4 linked regions of the Diceros bicornis minor genome follow. The protein of the gene in region 1 purifies or fractionates together with the protein of each later gene. This does not show direct contact. Links are inferred from orthologs where the notes say so. Each region holds a gene or a part of one and is shown in the gene's direction. Other genes may lie near its edges.

Region 1 (7,285 bases):
GGAGGTAACAGGCGCTCCACAAACCGGTATTCATCCACAGACTCCACGAAACTGGGGTAATCGGGAGGCCCCTGGGTCTGGCTCTGAAGCAAAAACAAAACAACCGTCTCTCCATCAGCCCACCCACCACAGGGTAGGCAGAACTTTAGTAGGTAGAGAAAGGAAACATCACAGGTGGGGAGAATGGCATAAATAAAAGGCTGGAGGTGGGAAAGCACCAGGCTTCAGTTTGCCAGAGTGCAGGGTACAGGTGGAGTGGAAAAGAATTTGAGGCACTTTGAAGGGCCTGCCTCTCAGGATTTTCTTGGGACTCAAATAACAAGTGTGTGTATACTTCTGAAAAGCTGATTAACCGTTAAGTCTGACCAATGCAGCATTTTCCGGTATTTTAAAGTTTTCTCTGAACATTCCACTAAAATATTCTAGTTCTGGGCTAGGCACCTGTTGCAATCGTGATCATTTCCCACTCACACTCATCCGATGTGGCCCTCCCTTACCTGGAACGTTTCAGCCTCATATAGACACCACCAGGCACTGCACTAGTGCTCTACGAGTATCGTTTGCACTTAATTCTTATAACGCGACAAGTTATGTATTTTATTTTATACCCCCTTTTTACACCCAACAAAGATTAAAACGTCAATAAACAATCTAGCTAAGGTCACACTCCGAAGTCTGTCCTCCCATCCTCCAGCTTAAAAATCAGTCTTGGACACTTCTCCCCATAGATACTCCCGAGTCCTGGTGGGCCCCAGGCTTACAATGAGAACAGGGCAACAGGGTAAAGTGGCCTGTATATCATGGGCTCTAGGTTCCCAGGAGTGTCGCCAATGATCCAGGGCCGACTCCACCCTGTGGAACGGTTTCCCCTCCAAAAAAATTAGTCGATAAGCAGCCCCTCCCACTTCTGACTAACCTGGGATGTTCTCCAATCAGGTTCCACCCCCCACACTCCAGAGCGCGCTCCAGGCAATGCCACCATCCCTCTCAATCTTGCATCTGAGCTCCAGAAGAGCCCCCGATCAGACGAGAAAACTAAGCCCCCAAGTAGGGTCGCGGTTTTTAGGGTTACAAGGAATAACAGTGAGCCTCACACCCAGCCCTCTGCCCCCAGCTCCAGGTTCAGCGCTCTCACCAGCCGCCGTAGCCCGCAGCCCGGCTGGAGGCCGGTTCTCCAGCCCCGCAGAGCAGCCCGGAACATGGCCGCCGCCATCTTGAACTGCCCCCGTACACAAGCGTTCTGCGCGCGCAACCGACCTGGTCCCGCCCCTTCCTGCGCGCGCCGCCGGGACCGAAATGACGCCTGCGCGGAACGAAAGGAGGCGGAGCTAGAACGGTCGTGGGCGGTACAAAAATGAGAGGCTCTGGCGGTCGCTCGGCAGTGACGTAGCACGCAGCAGGCGGCGAGGACGTGCGCGCCCTCGCTCCTTCCTCTTTCTCGACTCCATCTTCGCGGTAGCGGCAGCGGTGGCCGAGGTTCAGGTAAGAGTTGGGCCACGGCTGGATCCGGAGAGCTTAATAGCAGGTTGGCCGCGAGATCAGAGAGCGCAGGAGAAATAGAGGAAGAGGGGCTGCCCTGTGGCCGGGCTCCCGTCCCCACCCGAGCTCCCTGGCAGGCCCGGCTTCGCCCACGTGAGACCCCGCGACCACCTATCTCCCGGAGCGACCGTCCCTAGCCCGCCACCCATTCCCCGGTCTCCTCTGTCCCAGAGCGTCTCTTTTACGAGTCTGTCTTTTCTCAGTCGCCGACATGCAGCTCTTTGTCCGCACCCAGGAGCTACACACCCTCGAGGTGACCGGCCAGGAGACGGTCGCCCAGATCAAGGTAGGGCTGCGTGGTGCTCCCTGGGCTCCATCCGCCCGTGTTCTTCAACTTCGGCCCCCGCAGGAACGCTCATGAGCCTCATTTTTCTCTGCAGGCTCATGTAGCCTCGTTGGAGGGTATCGCTCCAGAAGATCAAGTTTTGCTCCTGGCAGGCACGCCCCTAGAGGATGAGGCTACTCTGGGCCAGTGTGGGGTGGAGGCTCTGACCACTCTGGAAGTAGCCGGCCGCATGCTTGGAGGTGAGTTGGTGAGGACTGTCTTTAAACTGCTCGTAATCACTTAATGGGTGTGGGGTGTGGCGTTCGGTGGCCTCAATTTGGGGTGGTTCTTCTTGTTTACCTCCCTCCAGATGAACTTTTGAGACGTCCATGGGAGACTGAGCCGGAGTATAGTTCTATTTCAGTCACTTACTAGAACCTTGACTGTTTCCCAGCTTTCTCACTAAAATTAGGTCAGAGCAGATCCTTAGCGTGCTCTTGAGTTCTTGTTGAAAGTCAGGGGCTGAAATATCCTGAAGTGAAACCCCAGAACGTACAGACTAGACATTCTTGGTCAGAAGTCAAATCTCTGCAACTTTGTTCTCATTCCCCGTTGGGCCCTTCCTGCTCGATAACCACTTGTTGGTCTCCTTTCTCACCACAGGTAAAGTCCATGGTTCCCTGGCCCGTGCTGGGAAAGTAAGAGGTCAGACTCCGAAGGTAAGTGACAGTGTTAGTGATGTCCTTTGGACTTTGTTTTAAAGATTTTTGGCCCTTGCCCTGTCTGCCTTCTCCCTCCCTGGAGGTAAGTCTGAGGGAAGGCTTAGAAGAGGTGAGCCAGGGTCTGATCAGCCCTCGCTTTTCCCAGGTGGCCAAACAGGAGAAAAAGAAGAAGAAGACAGGCCGGGCCAAGCGGCGGATGCAGTACAACCGGCGCTTTGTCAACGTTGTGCCCACCTTTGGCAAGAAGAAGGGCCCCAATGCCAACTCTTAAATTCTTTGTAATCCTGGCTTTCTCTAATAAAGCCACTTAGCCTAGTCGTCTCATTGTTTGATCTTCATTTGCAGAGAGAGAGATATGGCTTCTCGGGCTGCTGGTGTGTCCACTAGTGAGGCGTCTCTGGTTTCTTGGCAGTGTCAAGTTAGGAAGAGGCAGAGGCCCTTGGTCAGGGGTAGGGGGCGGGGTGAGGAGGGGTTGGTAAACTACAAGAAAAGGTTTCTGGTGAAAATGGGTAACCACAGATGCTAGCCCTTCAGAGGGAGAATTGGGGCAATTTCTGATTTCCAAATGACTTGATAATTCCCCCAAATCATTTTTGTTCTTTTTTTTTTTTTAAACAAGAGAGCAGGAATTGTGGGAGGTTTTATGGAGGCAGCAGTGGAGGGGAGGAGTTCAAGTAGATGTATCAGGGAACATCAGTCTGGCCTTTCCCTGGACCAGCTGTGGCCTTGATGGAGTCTAGGGCAGGGGGTCTGGTCTGCCCCAGCTGTGGAAAGCATTGCCTGATTACATTGGAACTGTGGCAGCCTTGTTAACCTAATAACAGCTGAGGTTGGTCAGTTGATTGAGTCAGTGTTCCCGGAAGTGGAGTTCACTGAGGCTGATTGAAGTTTCCCTCCTAGCAACACATGCATACTCCCTCATTCATTCTGCTAAGAGTTTTGAACCTGCTGGTTCTTGGGGTACAGCATGCCACGGGGTAAAGACCTTGGGCTCTGGACTTGGACTGCCTTGAGTTTGGATCCTTGCTCCATTTACTGTCTGGCTGACCTTGAATTAACTACTTATTTAATCTCTGCCGTAATCTCTTGAGTTGCCGTGAGGATTAAACGAAGGGTGTAAAGAACTTGGATTAGCACCTACCACGTAGTAAGTGTGCAAATATATTGGCTGTTTTTGTCTCTGTAGGGATCTTTTTAGAAAGATGTGGCCCTCTTTCTTCTAGGAGTTGAGATTCTTGTGGGGAAAATGAGAACACTAGTTACAAGTGGTACAGCCTCAAAGGAAGCAGTGCAGTAATGAAAGTCGGAGTGGGGGTGGACACACACCCTATGCTAGGGAAGGCCTCTGAAGATGGGATTGTAATCGAGCAAAAAGGGGCTCATTCTGCTTGCCACAATCTGGTGCCCATCAATTGCAAACAAGCCGGTGGTTGAGAAAGGAAAATTTATACGATTAGCTAGCATAATCGGAAGATGGCAGACTAGTGTCCTAAAGAACCATCTTAAAAGTGATACAGAATCTTGAGGCTGTTACATAGGAGAAATGGGCAGGGAAGGAGGAGGTTTAGGAATGTTGACCATCCAGTGTGACAAACTTCGTCACCTCAGTATCTCTTGTGTCATTCATGATGGGTACCAACGCAGAGTTTTTCTTTCTGGAGGTCATCATGTTCCTCGGCAACTTGGAGAAAAAAGTTACCATCTTATCACAGCTGGGAGATATATGTAAGCAAGAGTCACAGAACTAGATCATGTATTTTGCAAAAGGGAAAGGTGCTTAATCATCTAGGCTACGTGCAGGCCAGAGTGCATTCTTAGAAACTAGTGAGTCAGGGTCATAGTTAAATCTTGCTTCCTTTCCCTAAGATGGCTTCCCTCATGCTAACGTGAGATGTAGCTGTTACAGGAAGATCCTGCGGGGTCTTGGCAGACATGCAGAGAAGTTGGGGTTTGAGTCCAAGTGCAATGGAGGGTCACTAAGTGCAGGGAAGGGTTTTAAGCAAGGACCTGATGTGATCTGACTTGTGATCTAATACTTTGGCTGATTTTTTGGAGGGCTGGCAAGAAAGGAAACCAGTTAAGGTGGTGTCATCCAGTTGAGGGGCAAGTAGCTTAAACCACCAGTGGTAGTGGGGATGCAGACCTGAGGGTGGTCAAATCCATCCAGATCTTGGTAGGGAAATATATGATCCATATTGAGATGAGGTATTTTGAAAGCAAAACTGACTGTAGGTGGGGCTGAATGTGAGTTAAGTGAGGAACCAAAGAACCCAGAGCTTACTTTCAGGGGTGCCATGGACCAAGTCTTCACAGTGCTTGGCACGGTTTGTGGGTCACCCCCACTCTACCACAAACTAAGCTCCATTAGGATAGGGACTCCATCTCTTTTTGCTCCTGTGTTTTTGGCCCCTAGTTCGGAGTCTGCTCTTTAAAGTTGGATGAACGATAGGTTTGGAGGTGGAAATCAAACAGGAGCTCAGATACTTGTTAAATGCTGTCTTCTGAAAAGGGGAAATGCTCCCAACACACACACCCAGTCTAGGCTAGGTACTCCACCTTGGCCTTCTTCCACTCCCCTTTATTTGTCTGTGTCCCCCAGCAGAATGGCTGCCCCTGCAGCGCGGGGAGGCATCTCATCTCCTATGGACCTGGCACAATTAGTGGCCCAGGGTAGCTGCTTAGCAAAGATCCATTTCTGCCGAACCTATTTGTAGTGCCCAAAAGGCAACCACTAGGGGGCGAGCTGGCACTGGCGGAGCGCCCGCCCGACGCACTTTTCCTGCTTCTCTCACCGCGCGGGGCGGGGCTCTTACGTCACGAGCGGCTCCTGCGCCTGCCCGAGCGAGACTAGAGAGAGGGGTGGGGTCTGGCTTCCGAATGTGGACGGAAATTGCCGAGAGTCCTCGGGGTGCGTTGACTAAGCGCCCCCTCGGCCCCGCACAGGCGGAAGTACTCGAGGAGCGCCGGAAGCGCCGGGCGGGAATCCGTGTGCGTTCGGTGGCGGCCTGCGGCGCCAGTTGCCATGGAGCCGGCTGGGCCGTGCGGTTTCTGCCCGGCCGGGGAGGCCCAGCCCGCGCGCTACACCTGCCCGCGCTGTAACGTGCCCTACTGCTCGCTGCGGTGCTACCGGGCGCACGGCGCCTGCGCCGAGGACTTCTACCGAGACCAGGTGCTGGGAGAGCTCCGCGGCCGCAGCGCCTCGCCCAGCCGCTTGGCCGGCGCCCTCCGCCGGCTGCGTCAGCAACGCGAGACCGAGGACGAGCCCGAGGACGCAGGTCTCAGGCCGGGCCCGGCGCCCGGCGGCCTCTCGGGACTCTGGGAGCGGCTGACCCCGGCCGAGAAGGCGGCCTTCGAGCGGCTGCTGAGCCGGGGCGAGGCCGGGAGGCTGCTGCCCGCGTGGCGGCCGTGGTGGTGGGCGCACGGGGCCGGGCCGCGGCTTCTGGAGGAGCTGGACGATGTCCCCCGCGGGGAGGCCGCGGAGCTGGAGCTCCCACCCGCCCGGACGCCGCCAGAACCCGGGAAGGATGCTGCTGCCGCCGAGCCGCTTCTCGGAGACGCCCCGGGGACCGGCGCGCCCGCCGTGCCCACCCGGATCCCCGCGCTGGCCAGCCTGAGCCGCGGCCGGGCCTCGCCGCTCGTGCGCTTCCAGCTGCCCAACGTGCTGTTCGCTTATGCACACACTCTTGCCCTGTATCACGGCGGGGACGAGGCGCTGCTCTCCGACTTCTGTGCCACGCTGCTCGGCGTCTCCGGAGCCCTGGGCGCCCAGCAAGTCTTCGCCTCTGCCGAGGAGGCTCTGCAGGCCGCAGCCCACGTGCTGGAAGCAGGCGAGCATCCGCCCGGGCCCCTGGGCACAAGGGGTGCCATGCGCGAGGCCGCCCGCCTCCTGCTGGGCGAGGGCCCGGCCAATCAGAAGGCCTACACGCTGGCAGCACTGGGGCACCTGGCGCAGACCCTGGGCCGGGCCCGGAAACAGGCCGTGGCTACCGAAGAGCGAGATCGCCTCTACCGGGCCCGGAAGAAGTGCCAGTTCCTGCTGGCTTGGACCAACGAAAATGAGGCGGCCCTCACACCCCTGGCTCTAGACTGCACCAGGGCCCACCGAGCCCATGCTGTGGCCGCCGAGGAGGTGGCCGCCCTCACTGGGGAGCTGGAGCAGCTTTGGGGAGGCCCCCTGCCACCTGCTCCGAGGACTCTCATTGAGGAGCTCCCTGGCTGAACTGGGGACCCCTTGTCATTAATAAAGCTGTGACTGGTCTGCCTTGTCGGCATTGCCCATTTCTGAGTGACAGCTGTTGTCCCACCCACCCCCAGACTCCGGCCGCAAACCAGCTTTCAGCTTCTCCCTAATGAGGCCTGACCCAGCGACTTTTTAAACAGCCCAGAGAGGGAGAGAAGCGGCACCAAGGGTTCCAGATGTTTATCCAAGGAGGAAGAGCAGCCCATCCACTCCATTTTTAGGCACTGGCTTCATTTGCTCCTTGCCTCAAACTACCTCTCTGAGGCTGCTATCCCTGCCTGTTGGAGCTCGAGGCAGGGTAGGGTGCAGGCCCTTGGGTCGCAGGTGCGCCCCGGCTCCTGGTGCTGGGTGTGCTGGTGGGTGGGCGGGCACGTGCCCGACGTCGGGTGGGCGGAGCTGCGTCAGTAGACGTAGGGCACAATGCGGTAAGGCACACGCTTGCAGTATTCGTGCCAGGCCAGGCCGTATTTCTGCAGGCACTGCTGCTCATCCCGGGCCTCCCGGTGCACCAGCAGCGCG
Region 2 (7,746 bases), on another chromosome or scaffold:
AAGTATACTTTACGTTATTACCTTTGGGAACTTGTGTCTTTTTCATGGCTGTCATTGGCAGAGGAAACTTCATCCAGCTGCTCTGGAAGGGGATGATGATTCAGAGCATGTTTTGTTATTCCTTTCCTGTGAAAGATAAAAACAAAGTTATATTTCCTGTAAAGAAAAAATACATACTTTTCAGTAACTTGATCTACAAGTTAGTCACCTACTTCTTATTGCTCTGGAACCACACTGTCCAACACGGTAGTCACTAGCCACTAGCAGTTAAAATGTGGTTAGTTGGAAATGAGATTCACTTGAAGTGAAAAACACATAGGATTTTGAAGTCTTAGTACAACAAGAATGTACAATATATCCTTAATTATTTTATCTTGATTACATCTTAAAATAATATTTTAAATATATTGGGTTAAACAAAATATATTCTTAAAAATAATGTCATTGCAAATTGAAAATATAATGTTATAACAACACACCTATTAGAATAGCTAAAATAAATTATAGTGATGATACTAAATGCAGGTGAGGACGTGGAAAAACTGAATGTCTCATACATTGCTGGTGGGAATGTAAAGTGGTGCAGCCACTCTGGAATAGTGTCATAGTTTCTTATAAAACTAAACACATACATTTACCATAAGACCTAGCTGTTGCACTCTTGGGCATTGATCCCAGAGAAATAAAACTTATGTTCACACAAAAATCTGTACACAAATGTTTACAGCAGATTTATAATTGAAAAAATTGGAAACAACTGAAATGTCCTTTGACGGGTGAATGGTTAAATTCTGGTATATCCACACAATGGAATATGATTCAGCAATAAAAAGGAATGAACTATTGATACATGCAACAACTTGGATGGATTTCAAGGGCATCATGGTTAGTGAAAAAACCTAATCTCAAAAAGTTACATACTATATGATTCCATTTATATAACATTCACAAATGACAAAACTACAGAGGTAGAGAAAAGATTACTGGTTACCAGGAAGATGGAGAAAGGAGTGGATGTGAGGGTTATACAAGGATGTTCCTTGGTGGTGATGAAACAGCTCTCTATCTTGGTGTACCGGTGGTTACACAAATCTATAAATGAGACCAAATTGCACAGAACTATGTACACACGTCCACACACAAAGGAGCGGATATGAAAACTGGTAAAAACTGAATAAGGTTTATAGTCTAGTTAAAAGTATTGTATCAATGTCAGTTTTTTGGCTTTGAAATTTTACTTTAGCTACATAAGTTGTCATCAGTGGGGAAAGCTGGGTGAAGGGTTCATGGGACTCTATGTACTATTTCTGTTAACTTCCTGTGAGTCTATAATTATTTCAAATAAAAAGTTAAAAATATTAATTTCACCTGTTTCTACTATTTTTTTTAATGTGACTACCTGAAAATTTAAAATTACATGTGGCTTGTATTATATTTCTATTGGACAGTGCTGCTCTAGAGAGTTCAACGTGTGCACTAGAATAAACTATGGAGTCAACTATTATATGTTCCAATCCTAATCATCTACAGTAGCCCTTTCTTTCCTTCCCCACAAAATTCTGTAGGCAAATAAATTTAGGAAACATGATAGGTTAAACAAAGTTACACAGGTTTCTTTACAAGAAGTTTTCCCAGGGCCTTTAATATGCAAATGTATATTATAAATCTCTAATACTCTTATTTCACAGGAAAGAAAAGTGAGGCACAGAAGGATTAAGTAACCTGCTTAAGGTCATATGGCTTAGTAAGTAATGGAGCTAGGATTCAAATCCACGTAGTCTGGCTCTGAGGGCTCTCAGGGCAAATGAGTAGTTTGAGATTTCAGTGAATTGTACCAGTTTTTGTATAAAGATAAAGCTAAAGGCCCAGCCAGCTTGTTACTTTAACCCAGCTGGGCTTGTTACTTTATAATTTTATTTATTTATTTATTTATTTCCCCCCCCCAAAGCCCCAGTAGATAGTTGTATGTCATAGTTGCACATTCTTCTAGTTGCTGTATGTGGGACGTGGCCTCAGCATGGCCGGAGAAGTGGTGCATCGGTGGGAACCCGGCATCCGAACCCCGGGCCGCCAGCAGTGGAGCGGGTGCACTTAACCGCTAAGCCACGGGGCCAGCCCTGAGCTTGTTACTTTAAATTATTCTCAAATGGTGGGGATGGATTTGTAAGCTATTTGTACTTCTCTCATTTAATGATCCTACAACCAAAAGCTTGTCTTTGAGACAATAGTGAGGATTAGAAATGTGGATTCCAGCTGCAAAATAGAAACTTAAGGCAGATTTAGTCTGTCAGAGAAATCTGATCGTGACGTGACAATTAGATAATACCAAAGAAATATTAAATTTGATCACAGCATCATGGTTACATAAGAAAATGTCTATAATTTCTAGGTGCCTAATGAAGTATACAGGGGTGAAATGATATGCCTGGGATTTTGCTTCCTTATTTCACAAATGGCAGACAGAGAGGCTGAATAAAACACAAAGATTATAGATGAAGCAAATATATTAAAATTTTGATAACTGTTGAATGTGGGTGATGGGTGGTTCATTATATTATTCACCATACATTTATGTTTGAAATTTATCATTAAAAAATATTAAGCTGTATGTTGAAAATCACTTTTTTCCAAACTCTTCAATATCTATAATTTGAAACCATTAGGGAGAAAACTAAGTTACTTCTTCAAAGCAAATTATCATTATTAACACCTAAAGTAAAAATTGCTTTTAATTAACTGTCATTTAGATGCATATAATCTTCATTATCTTCATTATTCACATCATCCTGACTCATTTAGAGAATCATCTTTTGGGAGAGTTATCTTTAGGGAGTATCACATCAACAATAGAGAACAAGTAACATAACCACACTGGGTCAATAATTCTGGCCCAATAAGTGCCTATCAACCATTTTTTTCCATGAAAAACTTTTTTTTACTCTCAGCATTAATTATAAAAGCAGATTTTTAGCTAAGCCTTGTTCCCTTTGTTGGGAAATAACTTGCTTCTTCCTGGTTCCTCAAAAGCCTACTAACTGAATTGCTACTGTGTAGATGTCCTGTTACTTAGTAGATAACAAGCTTCTGAAAGGCAAGGAGAGATCGTAGACTGATTTTCTTTGTATGGCTATTGTACCAAGTAAAGGTGGGAAAAGACAAGGAAATTACTGTTTGCTGAGGACCTACTATGTGTCAAGCCCTGTGCTATCACTTTAGATATGCTTTTAAATAAGGTCTTATTTCTGTATTACAGAAATGAAGGCTCAAAGATTTAGCAATCTGCCTAAAAGTCACATGGCTAGAAAAGAGCCTAGCCAGAAACCCAAATGTGACTGAAAATACCATGCTTATTATTACCATTATAGTTAATATTTAATTAATAAATGCATGGTTGCTAAAATTACATAGCTCAGTGGAGGAAAAAAATAGAGATTTGGGATTAAAAAGTCCAAAAACCTACTGGTTATATAATCTTAAAATGTGTAACCTTTCTGATACTTCATTTTCTGAAAAACAAGATAATCATACCCATCTTACAGCATTGTTAGAAGAATCAAGATGTGTAGGTCTTTTTGAAAGTGTAAAGCATTAATAAATATATACATTATCATTACTTGCTAAATTACAACACCTCACTAGGGGTAGAAGGTGGGGCTTGAAGCCACCTCTCTAAAATTTCTAAAATCTCAAAAGCAAAACTGATCCTTAAGAATTCTGACGCTTGATTGCAGAGATGGGGAGGCAGTATGTGTAACGATTATGACCACAGGCTTTTGCTTTCTAAAATCTCAAAACCAAAACTGATCCTTAAGGATTCTGATGCTTAACTGCAGAGGTGGGGAGGCAGTAGTGTAATGGTTACGACCACAGCCTTCAGAATCAGATTGACATCAGGTTTGTACTTCAGCTCCGCCACTTTCTGACCGTGTAATCTTTGGCATGCTACAATCTTTAAATCTGAGATCTTTATCTGTAGAATGTGCAAAATAATAGTCCCTATCTGGTATCCTGTGGAGAGCATTAAGTGAGCTAACGCACGTAAGCAGCTTTGCTTGGTGCCCGGCACTAGATCAATTCAACTTTATGATAGCACTCAGTCAGCTATTAATAACTTCTCGAGTCTTCAATGGCCATTGACAATGGGGCATGAAGCACTGCGGTAACTACAAATGCCTTAGGAGACCCAGTCCCTCGGTTCAGGAAGTGCAGCCCAAGAGGGCCAAGTCCTGGGATAACACAAGTGACACGCCCTCCTAGACATGGAGGTAGAAGGGGCAGATAGAAGGGGAGGTAGAAGGAGCTGGAAGGAGAGAATTCCGAAGAAAATTTTCTTTCCCCCGCTCTGGGAAAGGAAAAGAGCGAGGGACTGATCAGAGAGGGTCCCCAGAGCGCCTGCGGTCTGCCTTGGCCTGCCCTGGCCCCAGCTGGGGTAGCTGAGTGGTCCACTCACAGCTCCAAACTCTGGGGCACCGCCTTCCGAGTGTATCTGGAGATCATCCTCCTCTTCCTCCTCAGCCGCGGCCGGGGCGGGCACGCCAGGGTGGGGGCCACCGGGCCTGGCCCTCCCGCCGGCTCCGGCCCGGCCCCCTCCCGCCACCTTCCGGCCCCGTCACGCCCCGTCGCCTAGACTCCCGATCGCCACCAACCCACAGTCCCCACCTCTCCAAGTGCTCCGCCCTCCTAGCTTCCCCACGGGGGAGGAAGTGACGAAGGCACTGCGGCACCCGCCTAATGCTCCCGCCGACGCTCAGCGGTGAAGACGCCGGGCGTTCCGGGGCTCAGCGGGGTTCTGACTTTCTGTCCGAGCTTCCGCTGGCCTCAGGTCCCAGACGGGTGTTTGGCCCCAGCCTGGGTCAGGCTTTGGCGGCTACCGACCAGCTCACGCGGTGTGAGGGGCGCTGAGGAAAAGTGCCGCCGCAGAGACGTGCCGGAGAGGCCCTAGAACTGTAAGCGGATCGGCTTCACTTTGTCCGAAGGAAGGAGGGAGCCTAGTCTGAGTAAAGAGCGCTCGACTCCAAGTCAGGCCTCTGCTGCTCGGTGGCTTCTCTTTCTGTGCTCCTGGTTTTCTCATCTGTACAGTGAGGAGTAAGCCTGGGTGATCTCAAAGTCCCTTCCAGTTCTGACACTAAGTTCTTCATAATAGGGTGCGCTTGGCATTATGGGGTGCGGGTGGGTAGAATTATTGTTTGTCCTTCTGGTTTGAAAGGCCAAATGATGATTTGGACAGACTGTGGTGAGTGAGTGTCTACATAGAAGATGCAGGTTCTTCTCGACCTCGTTGTATTAGTCCGTTAGAAAACCGAGTAAGCATCAAAATGGGATTGCTGCCTTACAGTGGACCATCCAGTGCAGGGCCTTTCTTTGCCAAGGCTCATCTGGCAGCAAGAGTAAGCTAGTACTTTTTTTTTGTAAGGGAAACCCTTAGAAAATAAAGAGATATCTACCACCTTTTAATATACCAGAGCTATACCCCCTGAGACCTGAAAAGGAGATAAATTTAGGACAGATACTTATAGGATCTAGAACTGTTGTCCGGTAACAGAATCATGGCAGATTATTTTGGAGTGAGATGATAGGATATGAATGTTTTGTAGTTTTGAGTTCCTCTGTGCCATGCAATGTTTGTAAAAGGCAGAGATTGGAATTCTGCAGAGTAAGGGAGATTGCTCTTAAGAGCGTTTAAATAATAAAAATTTTAACTGGGGAAGGATTTTAGAGATGATAGAGTAACACTCTCATTCCACAATTAAGGCAAAAGCACCAGAAAGAGAAAGTGAAATGCCCAAAGTGACACAACTCAGAACTGGGACTTTTGATAGTATTTAAACAAATGATGTTATTGCAGTGTTTCTCAAAATGTGTTACACCACTGCTAGTACAAGGGCAAACATTTTAAATTTTATTCTTACTTATTAGTTAATTGGGAATATGATACTGGATTTCCATTCACAGTATTATATCAAAAGTTCCTTTAACATAATTTTAAGTATAAAGAATATTATTTTAAGTATAAAAATGTCATTAAAATAATATTAAATAAATGTTAATATAGTTGGTACGTGGTCAAGGCAAAAATCATGATGATGGTATGTGGATAACTGAATATTGAAAAACAATGGAATTGACTAGAATAGTTCAGGGAATGGGATATTACTTCTACATTATTCTATAGGGTTTATATTATTGAAACTTTAAATGTAGTTTTCAAAGAAGAATGGAGGAAAATAAGAAGCTTGCTACAGTGGAAGACTCTGTGGAGTACTGCCTATTCCTGATACCAGATGAACCAAGAGACCCAGAAAAACACAAAGAGATTCTTCAAAAATATATTGAGAGGATAATGACCCAGTTTGCGCCTATGCTGGTCCCCTATATCTGGCAGAATCAGCCTTTCAATCTCAAATATAAACCTGAGAAAGGTAAGGCTCTTTTACTTGTTTTGATTTGATATGTATGACTTTCAATGTCATTCTGACAACAGTGATGTATAATAGTCTATAGTTCATTCAGTGTTGTCAGGAGATTTATATCCTGAACTTTTTAGGTTAGTGATGTTTGCCTATATTCGGTTAATCCCTTAAACGTAAAAAAAAATTCTTTTTAATTCATATTGATGAAAATTTTCTAATAGTCATTGCCTTAGGAAATTATATCTACTCAACATTATTAAAACATGGCTTTTCTTTTGGACTTTAATTGTTTTGCTATGCCATAGTGTATCTAGGTATATAGACTAAACAGGTTCAGGCATCTGGCTTCCTTAACCATAGTTCCTTTAGCTGTTACTCTGTATTCCTCACTCTTGGTAATGTATTTAGTAGGCTGCCTTGTTGTTTTGGTGGGGATCTACGAGTGGCTCTGCCTTGCTTATAAAGAGAAATAATTGGTCTTTATTACCATTATTTGTCATTCAGAAGCATTTTGAGGTTTCTTCACTGCTTCCCTGTGTTGTTGGTGCTTGAGATCTGACCTCTGGCCAAATATGGCACTTTGTCCTATCATTTCTTATAGTTTTACCAAAATGAATCATGGATAGGTGATCAAGGCTCTACTCATGCAGTGACTTATGTGGGGGTCTTGTTTCAGTTCAGGAGTCACATCTTGTGATACGATCAGTCTGGCTCTCAATCTAGCTCTTATCTGTTATCTCTTCGCTAGCAGTTGCCAAATGTGTTCCCTACTAATTAATTTAATTTTATCGAGCTCCTGTTCACTGAAACATATGTGATATTTATTGGCAAGAACACTGTCATGTTAGCACAGCACATCCAAAACCAACTCCTTATCTTTTTTCTAGAAAATCATTTTTATCCAGTGTTTTCTCATCTTGCTTAATGGCATTGCTATCCATCTAGTTATCCAAGCTTGTTAGTAATTCAAAATCATACTCAACTCTTCACTTCACCATGTTCAGTCAGGCACTAAATCCTAGTATGATTACTCCTAAAATATGCACCCTTCTCTACATCTGTTTGGCTATAGTGTAGGCCCTCTTTATCTCTTCATCTGAAAGACTAAAGTAGCTACCTAACTAACCTTTCCGGTTCCATTGTCTCCAGTTTCTCACACTGTTGCCAGTTTCTTTGTAAAACTTGAATTTCATCTTGTCACTCTCCTGCCTAATATCCTTCAACTATTCCCCATTGCTTCTGGATGAAGTTCAAATTGAAGTTTAATATATAAGGTAGATAAAAATAGACACTCTTTTGGAGCTTCTCTAGTTGAAAACACTTGGGAGATCTACGA
Region 3 (7,879 bases), on another chromosome or scaffold:
AAGACCCTGGCAAAAGCTTGGCATTGACCTCTGGCACACATGGGCTTTCCCAGGCTTTCCTGCCACAAGCTGCTTCCCTGAGCTCGATGAGTCCTTTTCTAAGGGAGGATGGCCCCGCTGCACTTCAATTTCTCAGTCCCATCTCACTTGCCCAGTCCTGCTTCTAAAGCAGGCCATAAATTCATTCAACAGATATTTATTGGGTACCCACTTGTGGCAGTCACCATTCTTGAGCTGGAGAGAGGGGGAGGGGAGGGGAGGGACCAGGGAAGCTCCCTGAGCCAGCCTTACATCTCTTGTCACAACTGGCCCCTCTGAGAGCATTTCCTTATTCTCTCCAGTGTATCGGACATTGCCCAGGGATGCCTTCCAGAGGGTCCTGGTTTGCATATCAGTTACCCCGTCACATATATGCTTAGCTGCTTAGCTGGCTGACCTGAGGCAGGACAGGAAACCAGAAGAGTGTTTGCCTCTGTGTGCAAAATGGGATGGAGAGCGGGCAGAGAGAGCCCTGTGGCACAGTCAGCCACATCCTCCCTGGAGCAGGCTGGCAGCCCACTCCAACTCCCGCTGAGTGCCACAGCACACTTTCCATGCACCGGGCTCCTTTTACAGTCCTGGTAGAGAAGCCACAAAACCTCCTTCCTGCCCTTCTTCACTTGAGAGCTCCCATTCTTTCTGGGCCAAGAGCTGAAGTGGATCCAACCTCTCTGGCCCCCCCAAAATTTGTCTCAGGCACCCCTGTCTTTGCAGGAACCAGACATCCTGAGCACACTGGACACACTTCAGAGAGAGAATATTTGTTCTGAGTTCTGCACCTGCCTACAGACCCTGGTTATGTGGCCTCAGGGCAGGGATGCAGTGGCCAGGCTTAGCTTGTGGGGCAGGATTTGTGCAGCTCTCCATCCCACGGGTGCTCTGACCTTCCTTCCACGGAGAGGCAGGCAGTGCCACCAGGGAGGAGGGGAGCTGCAACTGAAATCTAGGGCACTGTTTCCTCCCCATACTCCTCTTCATAGAGAATATAGATGTTTGTCTTATCTGTCTTCAACCTACTTTTCCTTTTTACATTTCTCATCCTTTCTGTGCCGCCTCTCCACCCAGGAGACCATGTAGCATAGTGGAAAAATTCCTGGAGGGCAGTCAGGAATTCTGGGTGGCCATCCTGGCTCAGCCCCTAACACACCATATGACATTAGGCTAGTCCCGTACCCCTTTTGGGCCTCCGTTTCCCCACCTGCAAAATGAACAGGATAAACCGGATGCTCTCCAGGGTCTTTTTCCACTCTGCCATCCTGCAGATCTTCGTTTTCTCTCATTTTGCTTTCTCGGGATCTTTTCCATCTGAGGGTACAGGAAGTGCCAGGACCTGTTTCAGTTTTTGAATCCTGCAAGCACATTCCAAGACTGGTCTGAAATTGCATGAGCAACATCACTCTAAATAATTTTTTTTTCAAAAGCACCTTACCAACCAACTGCGATGCTGTCCTGTTCCTTTTTACTCACCCCCCTCTCTCCTGTCTGGTCCCCACGCTCCCCCACCTCAGTGCTCCGTGCTGTATGCGTGTGCTCTCTGTTCTTGTATACTCAATAAAAGTGAAATAAATGTGTTTGATGCTGAACCACAAACCGCCTTGGCTTCTTTCTCTGACCTTGGCTACCAGTACAAGTTTGCATTGTGAGAAGAGCTAAAACTGGGGTGGAGAGATCCCACCCTAGAACACTTTTATTCAACAAATATTTGCAGCTCCCGGTGTGGTCCACGTCTTGCGTTAGGCTTTGCAGGTACAACAGCAAATAAGACAAAGTCCTTCCCTGAACTTACAGGCTAATGGAGGAAACAGACAACAAAACAAGCAGGCAGTCAGAGGTAATTCCATGTGATCAGCACCAGAAAGGAAAGGCACAGGGGGAGGGCATGGTCACCAAGGAGACCACTTTAAATTAGGTGGCGGCTTATGGCCTCCTCGAGGAGGTGATTTTTGAGCTGATGCAGAGAAAGATCCAGTAAGATGGAGAACTTGGGTGAGAGCATTCTAGGCAGAAGGAACAGTGAGCCTGCAAGCCCCACACAGAGGAGCTTCGTGTGTGGAGGAACAACATGATCCCTCTTCCTGAAAGGAGAGCACCTACATTGGGGTGTCTTCCTACAGCCCCTCCATGGGAGCCTGGTGGCTAATGTATACAGCAATCCCCAACTTCAGCCTTTGCCTACCACCTTCACATATGTTGCCATATCCCTGTGCATGCCACCTGTCCCATTATTGACTTATCATTTTTCTTTAAATTGACTCTCCGTAAAACAAACTATTTAAAAAGGAAACTACCTTCCACAAATGGAAAACTAGTGTCACTTGCCAAAGAAAGGAGGTCTTCATAAAAATAAATGCAAAAATATTAAAATTAAAAACCCATAATCTACGTAAAACTTAAGCTCATCCCTTGGACTACCTGAGGTGTGTGTACTACACTTTCCTTTTTATTCTACTAAGCAACTCACCTTAGACCACCTTTCTTTTTTTTTTCTTAATTTTTTTTGTGAGGAAGATTAGCCCTGAGCTAACATCCATGCTAATCCTCCTCTGTTTGCTGAGGAAGACCAGCTCTGAGCTAACATCTATTGCCAATCCTCCTCTTTTTTTTCCCCCAAAGCCCCAGTAGATAGTTGTATGTCATAGCTGCACATCCTTCCAGTTGCTGTATGTGGGACGCGGCCTCAGCATGGCTGGAGAAGCGGTGCGTCGGTGCGCGCCCGGGATGCGAACCTGGGCCGCCAGTAGCGGAGCGCGTGCACTTAACCGCTAAGCCACAGGGCTGGCCCCTAGACCACCTTTCTTTATTGCCCAAAATCTTACATGTGAGAACCACTGCTAATAATGTGGTGCATTTTCTTCCATTCTTTTTCTACATATGTGTATTTTTTCAGAGGTGAAGTCACCTAGTATGTATCATTCTAAATACTTTTTTAAACTTAAATCCTGAGCGTTTCCCTATAATTTCAAATACTATGTCTTTTCTTTTTAAAGTTAATTCATTAAATGATACAAAATGCTGTGCAGTGAAAAGCCATTCTTCAACCCACTCCAGACTCCTGTCCATTGTCAGAGGCAATTGCTTCCTGGAGCTTTGTGATCCTTCCTTGAATTTTCCCTGTAGGTTTCCTTACATTGGGTACCCACACACCCTGGATCTGTATCTCCATCTCCCGTAAATACAGGGTCAGCCTTTGAGCTGTTTGGGAATAACCTAGGGCTGGTTCATCTAGATCAGTGGTTCTCAACTGGAGGATTTTGTCCCCCAGGGAACATTTAGCAATGTCTGGAGACATTTTTGGTTGTCTCAACTGAGAGGTGCTACTGGCATTTAGCAGGTAGAGGCCAGGAATGCTGCTAAACATCCTACAATGCACAGGGCAGCCCCCTACAACAAAGCATTACCAGGCCTCAAATGTCAATAGTACCAAGGTTGAGAAACCTAATCTGGATGGACATTCCACCCACAGGGTAGGGTTCCTGGGCCACTATCTATAGCTTCTGTGCTGTAGTCCCTAGTTTAGTGCCCTAGAGTCTCTGAGAAGATGGTGAGCCCAGCTGGAACACAGAGTTCTGAAACCAGACCACAGAGCTCAGCGCCTAAGAATGGGGAGGGGCGGAGAGGGAGCTGAGCTTCATGCAGGAAATGGAACTGACACAACAGGCTGAGACTGACACGCATGACTGTGACTAATGGAGGCCATCTCTGGTTAATCCTGCAGCAGCTCACTGTGATTAACCATGACTGCAGGGCTCAGTCTAGTCTGTAACCCACTAAGTGATGAATTTTGACAGAGACAGATTGGCGTGTCCAGCTGTCACTGAGGAAATGTGACAGACAAGCTAAGGAGCAGCAGCACAGGGGCAAGAACAGCCAGTCAGACCTTGGTTTGCATTCCAACTCCACCACTCTCTGCCTGTGTAACCTCACTGAACCTCAGTTTTCTCTTCTGTAGGTTGGGAATACTAATGCCTACTTATGAGGGTTAGTGTAAGGATTAAAAATCATATACCAGTGGCCTGCCCTATGGATTTTGGATTTACCTAGCCAGCACTCACAATCACGTAAGCCAATTCCTTGCAATAAATGTCCTATATATCTCCTGTTGGCTCTGCTTCTTTGGTTGAACCCTGACTAATACAACCACCCAGCACAGGGCTAGGCCCAAAAATAGAAGCCATTTATTGATACCAAATTACTGTCATTAATTAAATGCATAATATATACACTGAGCTGAGCCTTTGTGCCTGGCTTTGTGCTAGGTTCCAGGGAAACAGTGGAGAACAAGATAGACTTTCCTCCCTCCGGGTGCATTTGTAGCCTGACTGAGATAGTATACTAGGTCTGGGCTGCCAGAGGACCCTGTGATTATGGCTGGAGGGACCAATGTGGTGACTACTGCTGCTGAGTCTGGTTCTCTCTGGGCTGGGGGCTGGGTTTCAGAGACTCTCCCCTAGGGCTGAGCCAGGACCGGATGATAACAGGCCAGCTGTGATACCGTCACTCCGACAGAGACTGGCTGACCAGGACCATGACTGAGGGTCTGACTGTGGCTACTGGGCAGCCATGACCTTGACCCTGGCTTCAGTGACCATGACTGATTGAAACCAAAGAACCACTGCTGGTGGATGTGTTTCTGGAGGGGGATATAAAATGCATCATTTGATGAAAGTTGTTTTCCACGGTTCAGGAACTAAAACGAATAACTAAAAGTAGCAAAAGGCAACATTTGATGGGGCGGAACCTGCAGGCGCGGACCGTTCCTTCCGCGACCGAGAACTCTGCCGGGCTGCTTTCCTCGTGGCTCCGGTCCGGCGCCTAAGCGGTAGAACTTCCGGTGCGCTTCCGCGGAACCTGAGCGTGGGGAAGACCGAAGTCGGTGAGTGCTGCCTCCTGTCAACTTTTAACTCCTCTTCTTTCGTTGTCTGTGTGGCGCGGCCACCCCTCTTTCTGCTTCGGGATTACGGAGTGCCTCTGAGCTGGGGCACCTCGCCGGGACGGCCTCCTCCCGGTCTGTGGGCCGGTGCTGGGACCCTGGTGTCTGCAGGCCGTTCTCCTGAGAAACCGTCACCACGGACCGTCGCCGGGACTTCCAGGGGCACCCGGGGTAACTGCGCTTTCCTCCTAACTGTAGAACTTGGGGGCTGGAGACCTTGGCTCCGCCCGCCCTGGTTTTGTCCTACTCTCTGTAACTTCGGGTAAGGTCTTTCGACGAGCCGAGCCTTTGTTTCTCATCTACAAGATGGATGTCATGCTTTTATTATAGAAATGTTTATCAAGCGTCTAATATGTGCTGGAGATACAAAAGACTCAGTTCTCGTGGAGGTGACAGCCCTCTATTAAACATACGGAAAATCGCAGCCGTGCTGAGTGCAGTGGAAGGTGCAAGGCGCCCTGAGAGTGCGTCACAGGAGGCTTGAGCCAGCCTCAGGTCAAAGGAGCTTTACTGAGGAAGTGAATGTTGAGCTGAGATCGGAAAAATGATTTGACGCAGAGAGGAGGGAAGAGTTTTCTATCCAGAGCCTCCTGTTTGAGGGTGGGGAAGAGGCCAGTGTGGCTGCAACAGAGCGATTATTGGGGGGGAGCACTGTATGAGACAGGCTGGAGGAGTGGCCAGGGGACAGACCACATAGGCCTTGTAGGTCGTGGGAAGAATTTCGGTTTTCCAAGAGCCACATGGGAAGCCACTCAGAGGGTAATAGGTGCGGGTGGTGACATGCTTAGATTGGCACTTTGAAAAGGTAACTTTGGCTCTTGGAGAAGGGATTGGAGGGGGCAAGCACTCTCTGGCTGAGGGATATGGTAGCTTGGATTAAGGAGGTGGTGGACAGAGGTGGAGGAATGTGACTTTCTGCATTCCAGAGCATCTTCTCTGTGCCAGGCCACGTGCCAGCTGCTGAAGATACACTGAAGAGAATTATAGGCTGGTGGAATTAGAATGAAAGGAATGTCATTATCGAGGAGTAGCACACAGATGCTGCAAGAGAAAATAGCTAATTGATGAGCAGTTATTCTAAATGCAATAGCTGTTCATTTAGCAAATATTTATTAAGTACATTCTGAATTCAGAGTTGGAAGTAGGAAGATGATGATATAAATTATTTAGAGCAGTGGCTTTCAGACTTTTTTCACTGTGACCTACAGTAACAAATTTTACATCTTGACCAAGGATATGTACAAACACACAAAGCTTCAGAAAACAATACTTATCTTTACTATTCATGGTGTACTCTGATTTTTTATAATTCTGTTCTTTTCATTTAAAAAAATTATTGCTGGTTGAGACCCTCTAAATTGATTTCTTAACCCATGAACGAGTTGTGACTTGCAGTTTGAAAAGACAAAATTCTGATTTAGAGTGAGAGTCATTTGTAGTGGTTTTTGGGTTAAGATGATAAAATATGCCCTTAACATTTTTGGAAAAGGATTGGTCTTCCTTTCTTCACTTTTGTTTAGCATAAAAAGAGTAAAAAAGAATTAAACAGGCAGCTGGTTCTTCTGTTTGTGAAATTTGGGGTCTTGTTAGTATGTCTGGTTAGACTGGAAGTGCCTGGAGGGCAGTGACTGTCTTACTCTGGATGTTTCTTTTAGTGCCCGGCAAGGATCCTGGCACAGTGCAGGCACTCAGTGATTATTTGTTGAATTGAATAGGTAGGTGTCTTGGGACTAGAAGGTTAGATAATTGGTTTAAATTAGTTCATGTTGGAAGTATTCTTATAAATACACAGAGACAGTGTCTGCCTGCCTACAGAAGTTTTATCAGTATGTCCTCATGGGTAGTTCAGAAGTAGATAAAATAGGTGTTCTAAGCTCTTTCTCTTCCAAATACTGATCCTAGGCCAGCCACGCCACCTGAATCCCTTCTGGGCGAGTGGACCAAAACTGCCACTGACTGTGGGCCCTTTCGGAAGTCGTTTCACTTCCTAGACTTTAGCTTTTTTATAAGTAATAGAATAAAGAGGGTGTTGTAGTTGAATAGCTCTCCACTGCCCAAACCTTTTGTGAATTTTAAGTAGAAAGCACCCACTTTCTACCTTCTGTCTATTTCTGGGCTTTGCCTGAGGCTTGTGAGAAACTGGGTGTGTGCTTGATTGAATCATCTTTCTCAGCTCTTCTGGGACTCTCCAGCAATAGGTTTTAGGCAGAGTTATGGTTTAGAATGGATCATCCAGGCTTTCTCCACCTTCTTCCTCTGTTGTGAGAGAGAGATCTGAGAGTAGATCCTGCGTGGACAGTGGAAAGAACACTGGCCTGGAGGGCCAGGTACTCAGGTTCTAATTTGGGTCCTTCTGTGACCTTGAGCATGTCACTTCTTTAACTGATGTCTTTTTAGCTATGAAGTGAGTGTTCGTGCCCATTAAACCAAAACACAAAAATCCTCTTTTCTTTGAGTCTCAGTTTCCTTATCTGTGAAACAGATGCAAGGTTGTGGTGAGGATTAAGGGAGATAATTATGTCAGGAGTCTAATTCAATATCTGGCGTATAGAGAATGCTCAGCCAGTGAAACATCCTTCCCCAAGTTCTGATTAACTCTGATTTATTTCTTTTTCAGCTGTTTTGGAAGTCAAGAAAAGTTCTCCAAAAGGTCACCCGCCACTGGTCCCATGGCTGCCATGCAGATGGATCCTGAGCTTGCCAAGCGCCTTTTCTTTGAAGGGGCCACTGTGGTCATCCTGAATATGCCCAAGGGGACAGAGTTTGGCATTGACTACAACTCCTGGGAGGTGGGGCCGAAGTTCCGGGGCGTGAAAATGATCCCACCAGGCATCCACTTCCTCCACTACAGCTCTGTGGACAAGGCCAATCCCAGGGAGGTGGGCCCTCGTATGGGTTTCTTCCTTAGCC
Region 4 (7,851 bases), about 5.7 Mb from region 1:
GCCTGCTGGGGACGGTGAGGTCCTGGGCCAGGGGGGTGCTATGTCCAGCTCGCCTAGCAGTGGGGGGGCTGCAGGGCTGATGCTGACGGCAGAACCCGGAGCTCCGGGGAGGCAGCACGTGGTCAGCCTAGACTGGCCTGCGATGTGGAGCTCGGGCGCCTCCCCTCGCCTGTCTGGCCCTGGAGGAGGGTTTACAGGCAGCCTGACGACCTTCCCCAGAATGCCAGCTCCCTGGTTTCCCTGTTTGGGTCTTAAATTGCATCACGGTTGATTGCCCTTATGTCTAGTTCCTAAGTTCCAAAGTTGCTTTTTTTCTTTCTTTCTTTAAAGAAAAACCCACAGATATAATAGGAGCGAGTCCCAGTCTCATGGCCAATCTCAGGTGTCCCAGGGCATGTGGGAAGCTGAGGCCTGGCTGTGGTGTCCAGGGTCTAGCCGGTCCAGGAGGCATGGGCTGTGGGAGCCTGTGCCAGTGTCTCCAGTGGGGGAAACTGAGGCACACCACGACGACCCCTTTTCCATGGGGAGAGGAGAGGAAGAAATGGGGCAAGGAAAGGGGTACTGGCGGCCCAAGCCTCCTTGGGGGCTGTGCCACCCTGCATTTCCCAACCCACCCAGCCCCTACCCTTGTCCTCTTCCTCCAGCCGCCCCTGGTCCTGCGGGGACAATGAGAACACTGGCCTCCTGCTGCTGGGGCCAAATCTTAGGCTCCATACAGCTCTTCCCCGGTCAGGACGTGGGTGGGTGGGTACCGCCAACCACCCCACACACACCTGTTGCTCAGTCGGGCATGTCACCTGTGGAAGGCGAGCCCCAAGCTGCCACGCCAGTCAGGGCCTCAGGAAGCCCTGGCCGTGCCTGCTCTGAACCCCCCCTCTACCCTGACCCAGTTCTTCACCTGTCTGGTGATCCTGTTTGCCTGCGAAGTGGCTGCCGGCATCTGGGGCTTTGTCAACAAGGACCAGGTGAGCCTGAGTCCATAGGGGAGGGCCAGTCCCAGCCCGGAGGGGCGGCGGGGGGGAGCACCTGCTGCTCAGGCTGTGGGAGACGGGTCGGGTTGCGGGGTGCTCTCTGGGACTGGCCTGGGAGGGAGACCACAGAGGGCTTTCTGGAGGCGGTGGCATGGAGGCAGGGCTGCCCGACTCCCAGCTTCTGGGTTGCAGCTGGGCTGTCCTGGAAGTGATACCTTCTGGGAGAGTCAGGTGAACGCTGTCTCTGGGGATGGTCCCCGCTGTGCATGTGACCCCACCCCTCCCCCAGATCGCCAAGGACGTGAAGCAGTTCTACGACCAGGCCTTGCAGCAGGCCGTGACACTCAGCAAAAGCGACAGCGACAGCGACAACGCCAAGGCCAAGGCCAAGGCTGTGGTGAAGACTTTCCACGAGACGGTGCGGGAGATGGGGGGAGGCGGGGAAGGGGTCGAGGGGGACCAGGGGAGGCCAGGTGGATGAAGGTGTTTGTCCCCTCAGTTGAGGCCCAGCTAGGCCTCAGCCCAGACCTCCGGAGCAGAAGGGACACTTGAGACCTGGCAGCCCTCTCCTTGAGGGCTGTGGGGCCGTCTGCGAGCCCTGTGGGGGCTTCTCTGGGACCTGTGGGTCCCTGGTGGGAACGAGACAGTTCAGGCCGGCTGGGGTTCATGGGTCTCTGAGCAGCACAGCTGAGTGAGAGGCAGGGAAGGAGGGGGCGCCTGGGTTTGGTGCTCCCCCTGGAGGGGACTATCCCACCCCCGCAGCACCATGCCAGGCCGGGGCAGCTGCTGGGGCCCCTGCAGCCTGTGGGATGCCTATCCTCGTGCATCTCCCCTTGCGTCATCTTGCCCGCGCCCAGGACTGACCGTGGGCATGCTTGCTCTCTGCAGCTCAACTGCTGTGGCTCCAGCACGCCATTCGCAACGACCACCCCTGGGTTCAGGAACGACCTGTGTCCCTCGGGCGGCAAGGTTATACCCAACTTATTCAAGGTGTGGGTGGTGGGTGGGACCTCCCAGGGGCTGGGTGGGGCTGGGCCTGCCTGCTCCCCCACTTCGCTGCCACCCTCCCCTCTCAGTGGGTCCTGGGTGGTGGGTGGGCCACAGCTACACAGCGGCACTGTGGCTAGAGTCAGGGCTGTTCTGCCTGTGGGGCTGGGCCAAGGCTGAGTTTGTACTGACGGCCCATAGCGGGGCGACTGTGCCCTGGGTTCCCAGTGGGGGAGCTCTCCTCCTCCGCTAGCTCTACCCGTACCCGAGCAGGCATGGAGGGCGCCCTGACCGCTGGGTCAACGCCCATCAATGCCCAGTGATCTCTGAGTGGAACAGGGAGCACACAGCCCGTCCCTCGGTTCCACATTTGGTTTAAAATGGAGAGACTGGGTGTTGTTCACACCTCTTCTGAGGGGCAGGGGCCGTGCCCCTCCATGCTCTTTCTACAATGATCCGGCTGCTGCAGTCCGGGGGTCCTGCGGACCAGTGCCCCTGACCGCCTGTGGCCATCCCCCACAGGAAGATTGCCACAAGAAGATCGATGAGCTCTTCTCGGGGAAGCTGTACCTCATCGGCATTGCCGCCATCGTAGTGGCAGTGATCATGGTGAGCGGGCAGGTGGGGCGTCTGCTCAGAGCCCTCCACGGGTCTGTGGGTGCTGACCAGCTTGCCCGCCCCCTCCCCGCAGATCTTCGAGATGATCCTGAGCATGGTGCTCTGCTGTGGCATCCGGAACAGCTCCGTGTACTGAGGCTCCGGCCACTCGGGCCGCAGGCCAGGCCGGTGGGACCCCTGCGGCATCCCCAGGGCGACCCGGACACTTCTGCAGAGGGCCTCTCACCACCTGTGTATATAACTTTTCTGGTATTATTACTCTGCTGCACTTATTAGTCTTTTTACTTTTGAGGTTTTGTTTTGGTCCTGAAGTTCCCCATTACCTTCTGGGGTTGATGTCACCTGTAGGTGGTATGTGACTGGACCCTGGGGACTGCAGGGCAGGGGCCCCCTCTGCCCCTGGGGCCGCCTGGGGGCTCTGCCTGCTCAGCCAGCCCTCTCCAGGGGACCTCGCGGGCCTTCTGGTGGAGCTGCATCCTCCCACCCACCTGTCCCCATAGGCTGCAGGGCTCAGGCCGTTTTTAATCCATGTTCCTCTCCTGCCACCTGTCTCTAGAGCGGGGTCTACGAGCGGCCTTATGCCTTTAATGCACCTCTCCTTTCTAACGTGTCACCTTCAACTGTAATTACATCTTGAAAGTCATTCAATAAAGAAAGAAAAACCAGGCATGCTCACAAACTGTCCAGCCCCTTCCTGTGCCTGCATCGTCCAAGACCCAGGGGGTGGCCGGAGGGGAAGGGGAGCCTGGCACGCATGGGGCTTAGCTCTGTGGACCTTGCTGGGCCCAGGGTGTGCTGCCAACTCTGTTGGTGGGTGAAGACAGACCCCCCCCCCCCCAGGACAGCCCCCTTTCTTGGGCCCTGTGCCACCTGCAGCAGTCTCCAGCCAACCTCTCCCCTACTCCTCCTGCTGCACCACTGCCTGGAAGGAGCAGGGGGGACAGGGCGGCCAGAGAATGCGGTGCAGCAGATGTTTGAGGTGGGGGGCCTGCAAGACTCTCCTGACGGAGGGCTCTGTGGAGGCTGGACGCCTGGCCCCGGCCCTGTCCCTCCCCGTCTAGGTGCCTCTAAATGTTCTGTTGAGGAGCTGGGTGGCTCAGGGCTTAAGCCCCATCGTGCAGGCGCTGGATCAGAGGGCCTCTACGACTGCCTGCGGGAGCCCACCTGGCCCACCACGGTGGACTGAGGTCTAGCTGCCTCTTGGATCTGGCTGCTGCCCCGTCTGGAAGGCTGGGTGACATCACTGTGAGCTATAGGCAGGCACGGACCTGCGTGTGTGTTAAAATTGACCCCTTGAGGCCACAAAGGCCTGGCTGGGATTCATGTCGCGGGCACCCGGCCGCCTCCCTGGGGGCAGATTTTGGAAACGAACCCCAGACCTGCGCTGGGGGTCGGGGGGGAGGGTCTCAGCGGGCCTGCCGCTCTCACCATACCCCTCCACCGAGCTTGCCGGGTCGGGTCGGCCAGAAGGACGGGATGGTCGAAGAGCCCCCTTTTTACCCGGGGATGTCCTGGCCAGGGCTTAGGTGTCTGTCACCTGTAAGCTGCGATGTGACACTACACAATTAGTGCGGGGGGGGGAAATGGGGAGTCCCGAGGCTGCACAGGAACGGGCCCCGTTTCCTCTCCGGGTCCCTGGACTCCGGGGATGCAGCCCTGGGAGAGGCCGAGGTCCGGCCGTCCAGCAGGCGGGAGCCGAGGCGCCTGGACTCGGGCACGGCGCGGCCCAGCGGGGAAGGGGCGGGTGGCGGCCGCTGGGCCCGGGGACGAGGGACAAGCGCCTGTCCAGGGAGCCGGGGCCTGTCCTCCGCTCCCGGGCGGAAGAGACCAGCTGGACCATCAGCCATCGGCAAGCAGGCTAGCCCGACCATGACCCCCTCGGCGGCTGCGACGAGCACTCTACCTGAGGCGCGGCCTGCTCCTAGGACCTACGACGAGCGCGATCAGCCGCTTCCGGCCAGGACCGGAAGTGCCCGGGAACAACGCTGCGCGTGATGATGCACTTCCGGCCTGAGGGACTACTGTTCTCGGGCCTTCCGGCAGGTGGCGCTGAGGCCCAAGGAAACCGGCGCCAGCAGTTAGCCCTCGAGCATTCTGGGAGTCGCAGTCCCTTCTCCTCCCTTCCCTCCTCTCCCTAATCAATTCCGGGCTCTTGGGGAAGGAGTTCCGACGTTTCCGGGGAGGGGAGGTCAGGGAGAGAAGCGAGGGCGCATGCGCAAGGACTACACGTCCCGACAGGCCTCGGGAGTAGCGGTCCAGTGCCTTGTGGGAGATGTAGTTCTTCAGGCGCGGAAGCCTTGGCGCTCGGCCGGCGGAGGACTCGGTTTCCCAGAGATCCGAGCGCGGCGCAGGATGGAGGCGGTGCAAGATGGAGATGGCCGGGCGGGCCACCGTGAGCTGGTAGGTTTGTGGTGAGGTAGGACGGCGGCGCAGGCCGGTTGGGTCTCGCAGGCTGCTGCCCCGAGCCCTGAGACCCCAACGTGCTCTTTGTTCCTCATGTCTCGCGGCCTGGCCGTCGGGCCCCCGTGCCTCGTGAGGCCCGGACACTTCCTCACCCAGCCCGACTGGGTCCCCAAGACCCAGGCCTCGGCACGAGAGCCTGCTGGGCGCGAGTGCAGGAAGTCACGGCTCTGCCTCCGACGGGGAGAGAACCGGCAAGGAGGCCAGTGGTCCCGCTCCCGGGGACCCCCGACCCCTCAGCCCGGACTCGGCTCTGCCTTCTCTGAGCTCCCGCAGTTCCCAGAGAGCTCCCAGAGACAGGCTCCCGTCTGCCCCGAGCGCCCCGCTGGTCAGGCGTCTTGTCGTAGGCGCGGCGGCGTCCCCGGCGGTGCAGGGGACGGGAGTGCGGATTTGGGGAGCCGGGGTCTGCTCGGAACTCCAGCCGTGCGTGCGACGTGCTGTGTGACGGGCAGATTATCTGTCCCCCCGGCCCTGCCTGCTCTGGAACCCCCCGGTGGGGTGTGCTCCTCTCCTTGTTCTCTCTTTTAGTCGTTCCCTCGTTTGGGAGTCATGCCGCAGAGGAATGGAGATCTCGCCCGTGTCTGACCTGGTGCGGGGCTCTCGGGGCCGCTCCTGCTCCGCCTGGCCAGGTCTTCAGTGGGAGCAGGAGCAATGGGTCACCCTGGGCTAGGGAGGCTTCTCCGGGGAAGGGGAGTTGGTGGACGGATGGGTGAGGCTGGGCTGCCTCTGAACCTGGAAACAAAGCTGCGGGTGCCTGGTCACACTCGGACACTCGAGTGTCCTCAGCAGTTCTCTGCTCAGCTGGGGAAGGTGGGGGTGTGTAGCGAGTTAGAGGAGAAATGCTCTAGGGGCCGCGGGGGCTTGCCTCTGCCCAGCGAGGCTGCTCCAGGTGATCACTGACACCCAGTTCCCTGAGAGCTTTGACCCTCAGGTGCCCAGGACCTGGCTGCAGACCCCTCTGAGCTCTCAGAGCAACTCCAGCAATCAGGAGCAAACCTGCTCCCCACAGACAGGGCAAAGTGCTCCAGTCTTGGTGGAGTACTTCCTGGGTGCCTCGCGCTGTGCTGAGCAGTTTATGAATGACCCTCCTTGGTCAAGAGTGGTAGTGTCAAGCAGAGGCTGCTCTCATCTCGGGGTTCAAGCCCTGGCTGGCCGCCTGCTACTAGAATTCCCCGTCCCCCAGCAGGCCCCTAGTTGTCAAGTTAGGCTTAGCTCGAGAGAATTGAATGAGGTGACATGACAGAGGGCCTGCTCCTGGACCTGGCCTGTATGGGGGCTCCGGAAACCCGGGTCCACTCCCGGGGTTGTGGCACCACTTCTGCACGCTCACTGTGGTCTGATGGCTGGCTTTCCTTCCCCAGTCTCAGCCGCCTACAGTTGAGCCGCAGCTGAACAGAGCTGTGCCGGGGGACTTCTGGGACTGAGGCCACCACGCCTTTGCCGCCACGGACCTTTGGCAGCGCTCCTCCCACCAGCACTCCAGTGTCAGCACAGGCACCCAGAAGACAAGGGAGGTGAGGAGGGCTCTTGGGGAGTGGAGAGGGACTGTCCCTTCCTTTGTAGGACACAGTTCTTTCTGCTGATCCTGCTGCCTGCTGGGTGCAGTAGGTCTGCAGGAGGAGTTTGTTCTAAATGCGTGCTGTTCTCAGAAACTGTTTGCTGGGCTGTTTTGGTCTAGGTGTGGCGTGGCCTTGGGACACATGGCTGAGGCAGAGGCAGGCGAGGCCTCTCTTGGCTTGGACGTCGAGCAGGGGACAGAGTATAACACCCTGCCTTCCGACACCGTCTCCCTTAGCGACTCAGACTCCGACGTCAGCCTACCGAGCGGTGCTGATGTGGAAGCTCTGTCCCCAGAGGGGCTTCCTGGGGAGGCCCAGGGGGATTCAGACCCCGATGAGTCCCCCTCATCCCCCAGGGGCTTCCCCACAGTTGAGGTGCAGGCGTTCCACCTGAGAGGCACGAGCACCACCTTCTCTCAGCGCAGCCACAACATCTTCGACTGCCTGGAGGGGGCAGCCAGGCGGGCTCTGCCCTCTGTGCCCCAAACTGGCATGGGTGACAATGGGGGCTTCAAGCGGCCCCGGCTGCCCTCAAGCCAGCCTCCAGCAGAGGGCCTAGGCAGGCCTGTCCCTGACTACGTGGCCCATCCCGAGCGTTGGACCAAGTACAGCCTGGAAGACGTGGCCGAGGCCAGCGAGCAGAGCAACCGGGCCGCCGCCATGGCCTTCCTGGGCTCCCAGAGCCTGGCTGCCCCCAGCAACTACGTGCCCTCCTTCAACCAGGATCCCTCCAGCTGCGGGGAGGGAAGAGTCATCTTCACCAAACCGGCCCGAGCTGGCGAGGCCAGACCTGAAAGGAAGAGGGTCCTGAGGAAGGCGGGAGAGCGGGGCAGGGGTGCCCCTGGGAACCCAGCAGTGGTGGGGGGTGAGGGTCCTGTGGAGCTGGCCCACCTGGCTGGGCCTGGGAGCCCGGAGGCTGAGGAGTGGAGCAGCCCCTGTGGGGTCCTGCAGGAGGTGGACACGCCAGAGGGGGCCGCCCACACCGGGTCAGCAGCAGGGTCCCCAGTGGTGGAGACTGTTGGCTTCCACGGCAGCAGGAAGCGGAGTAGAGACCACTTCCGGAACAAGGGCAGCAGCCCCGAGGCCTCGGGTGCTGAGGTCTGAGAGGAGAGACTGCCCAGCCAGCCTTCCCCAACCAGGCTGCCCGTGGGCTGGTGTTGGAGGGGCTGCCGGGGGCCACTGCCCACATAGGGTGGCTTTAGGGGCAGGTGCCGCGGGCCCCGTCCCCACTCCTTTGGGAAGGGAGCTGACGGGCT

Evidence for each region.
Region 2: the proteins of ZNHIT2 (region 1) and ECD purify together in Homo sapiens (affinity purification with mass spectrometry; 3 studies listed by BioGRID and IntAct, counting the BioPlex papers as one, with this or other methods). This does not show direct contact. The link is inferred for Diceros bicornis minor from reciprocal best matches to the Homo sapiens genes ZNHIT2 and ECD.
Region 3: the proteins of ZNHIT2 (region 1) and AAR2 purify together in Homo sapiens (affinity purification with mass spectrometry; 3 studies listed by BioGRID and IntAct, counting the BioPlex papers as one, with this or other methods). This does not show direct contact. The link is inferred for Diceros bicornis minor from reciprocal best matches to the Homo sapiens genes ZNHIT2 and AAR2.
Region 4: the proteins of ZNHIT2 (region 1) and TSSC4 purify together in Homo sapiens (affinity purification with mass spectrometry; 3 studies listed by BioGRID and IntAct, counting the BioPlex papers as one, with this or other methods). This does not show direct contact. The link is inferred for Diceros bicornis minor from reciprocal best matches to the Homo sapiens genes ZNHIT2 and TSSC4.

The regions. Positions count from the first base shown.
Region 1 is NC_080770.1:8,036,753-8,044,037, forward strand, and holds ZNHIT2 (zinc finger HIT domain-containing protein 2), read left to right. Parts: upstream 1-4,376; 5' UTR 4,377-5,548; coding exon 5,549-6,745; 3' UTR 6,746-6,783; downstream 6,784-7,285. Other genes in the region: MRPL49 (large ribosomal subunit protein mL49), read right to left, coding at 1-107, 1,136-1,213; FAU (ubiquitin-like FUBI-ribosomal protein eS30 fusion protein), read left to right, coding at 1,751-1,825, 1,920-2,064, 2,468-2,523, 2,672-2,797; delta(14)-sterol reductase TM7SF2, read right to left, coding at 7,168-7,285. UniProt on the Homo sapiens protein: May act as a bridging factor mediating the interaction between the R2TP/Prefoldin-like (R2TP/PFDL) complex and U5 small nuclear ribonucleoprotein (U5 snRNP).
Region 2 is NC_080745.1:33,360,110-33,367,855, forward strand, and holds the start of ECD (protein ecdysoneless homolog), read left to right. Parts: upstream 1-4,740; 5' UTR 4,741-5,085; exon of another isoform or gene 5,086-5,144; intron 5,145-5,229; exon of another isoform or gene 5,230-5,387; intron 5,388-6,201; 5' UTR 6,202-6,214; coding exon 6,215-6,419; intron 6,420-7,746. Other genes in the region: primary cilium assembly protein FAM149B1, read right to left, coding at 22-126, 4,451-4,497. UniProt on the Homo sapiens protein: Regulator of p53/TP53 stability and function. Inhibits MDM2-mediated degradation of p53/TP53 possibly by cooperating in part with TXNIP. May be involved transcriptional regulation. In vitro has intrinsic transactivation activity enhanced by EP300.
Region 3 is NC_080758.1:23,635,431-23,643,309, reverse strand, and holds the start of AAR2 (protein AAR2 homolog), read left to right. Parts: upstream 1-4,869; 5' UTR 4,870-4,912; intron 4,913-4,918; exon of another isoform or gene 4,919-5,140; intron 5,141-5,152; exon of another isoform or gene 5,153-5,231; intron 5,232-7,586; 5' UTR 7,587-7,638; coding exon 7,639-7,879. UniProt on the Homo sapiens protein: Component of the U5 snRNP complex that is required for spliceosome assembly and for pre-mRNA splicing.
Region 4 is NC_080770.1:2,325,169-2,333,019, reverse strand, and holds the start of TSSC4 (U5 small nuclear ribonucleoprotein TSSC4), read left to right. Parts: upstream 1-4,850; 5' UTR 4,851-4,976; intron 4,977-5,029; exon of another isoform or gene 5,030-5,672; intron 5,673-6,397; 5' UTR 6,398-6,550; intron 6,551-6,714; 5' UTR 6,715-6,736; coding exon 6,737-7,699; 3' UTR 7,700-7,851. Other genes in the region: CD81 antigen, read left to right, coding at 1-14, 891-965, 1,261-1,389, 1,860-1,961, 2,481-2,567, 2,650-2,712. UniProt on the Homo sapiens protein: Protein associated with the U5 snRNP, during its maturation and its post-splicing recycling and which is required for spliceosomal tri-snRNP complex assembly in the nucleus.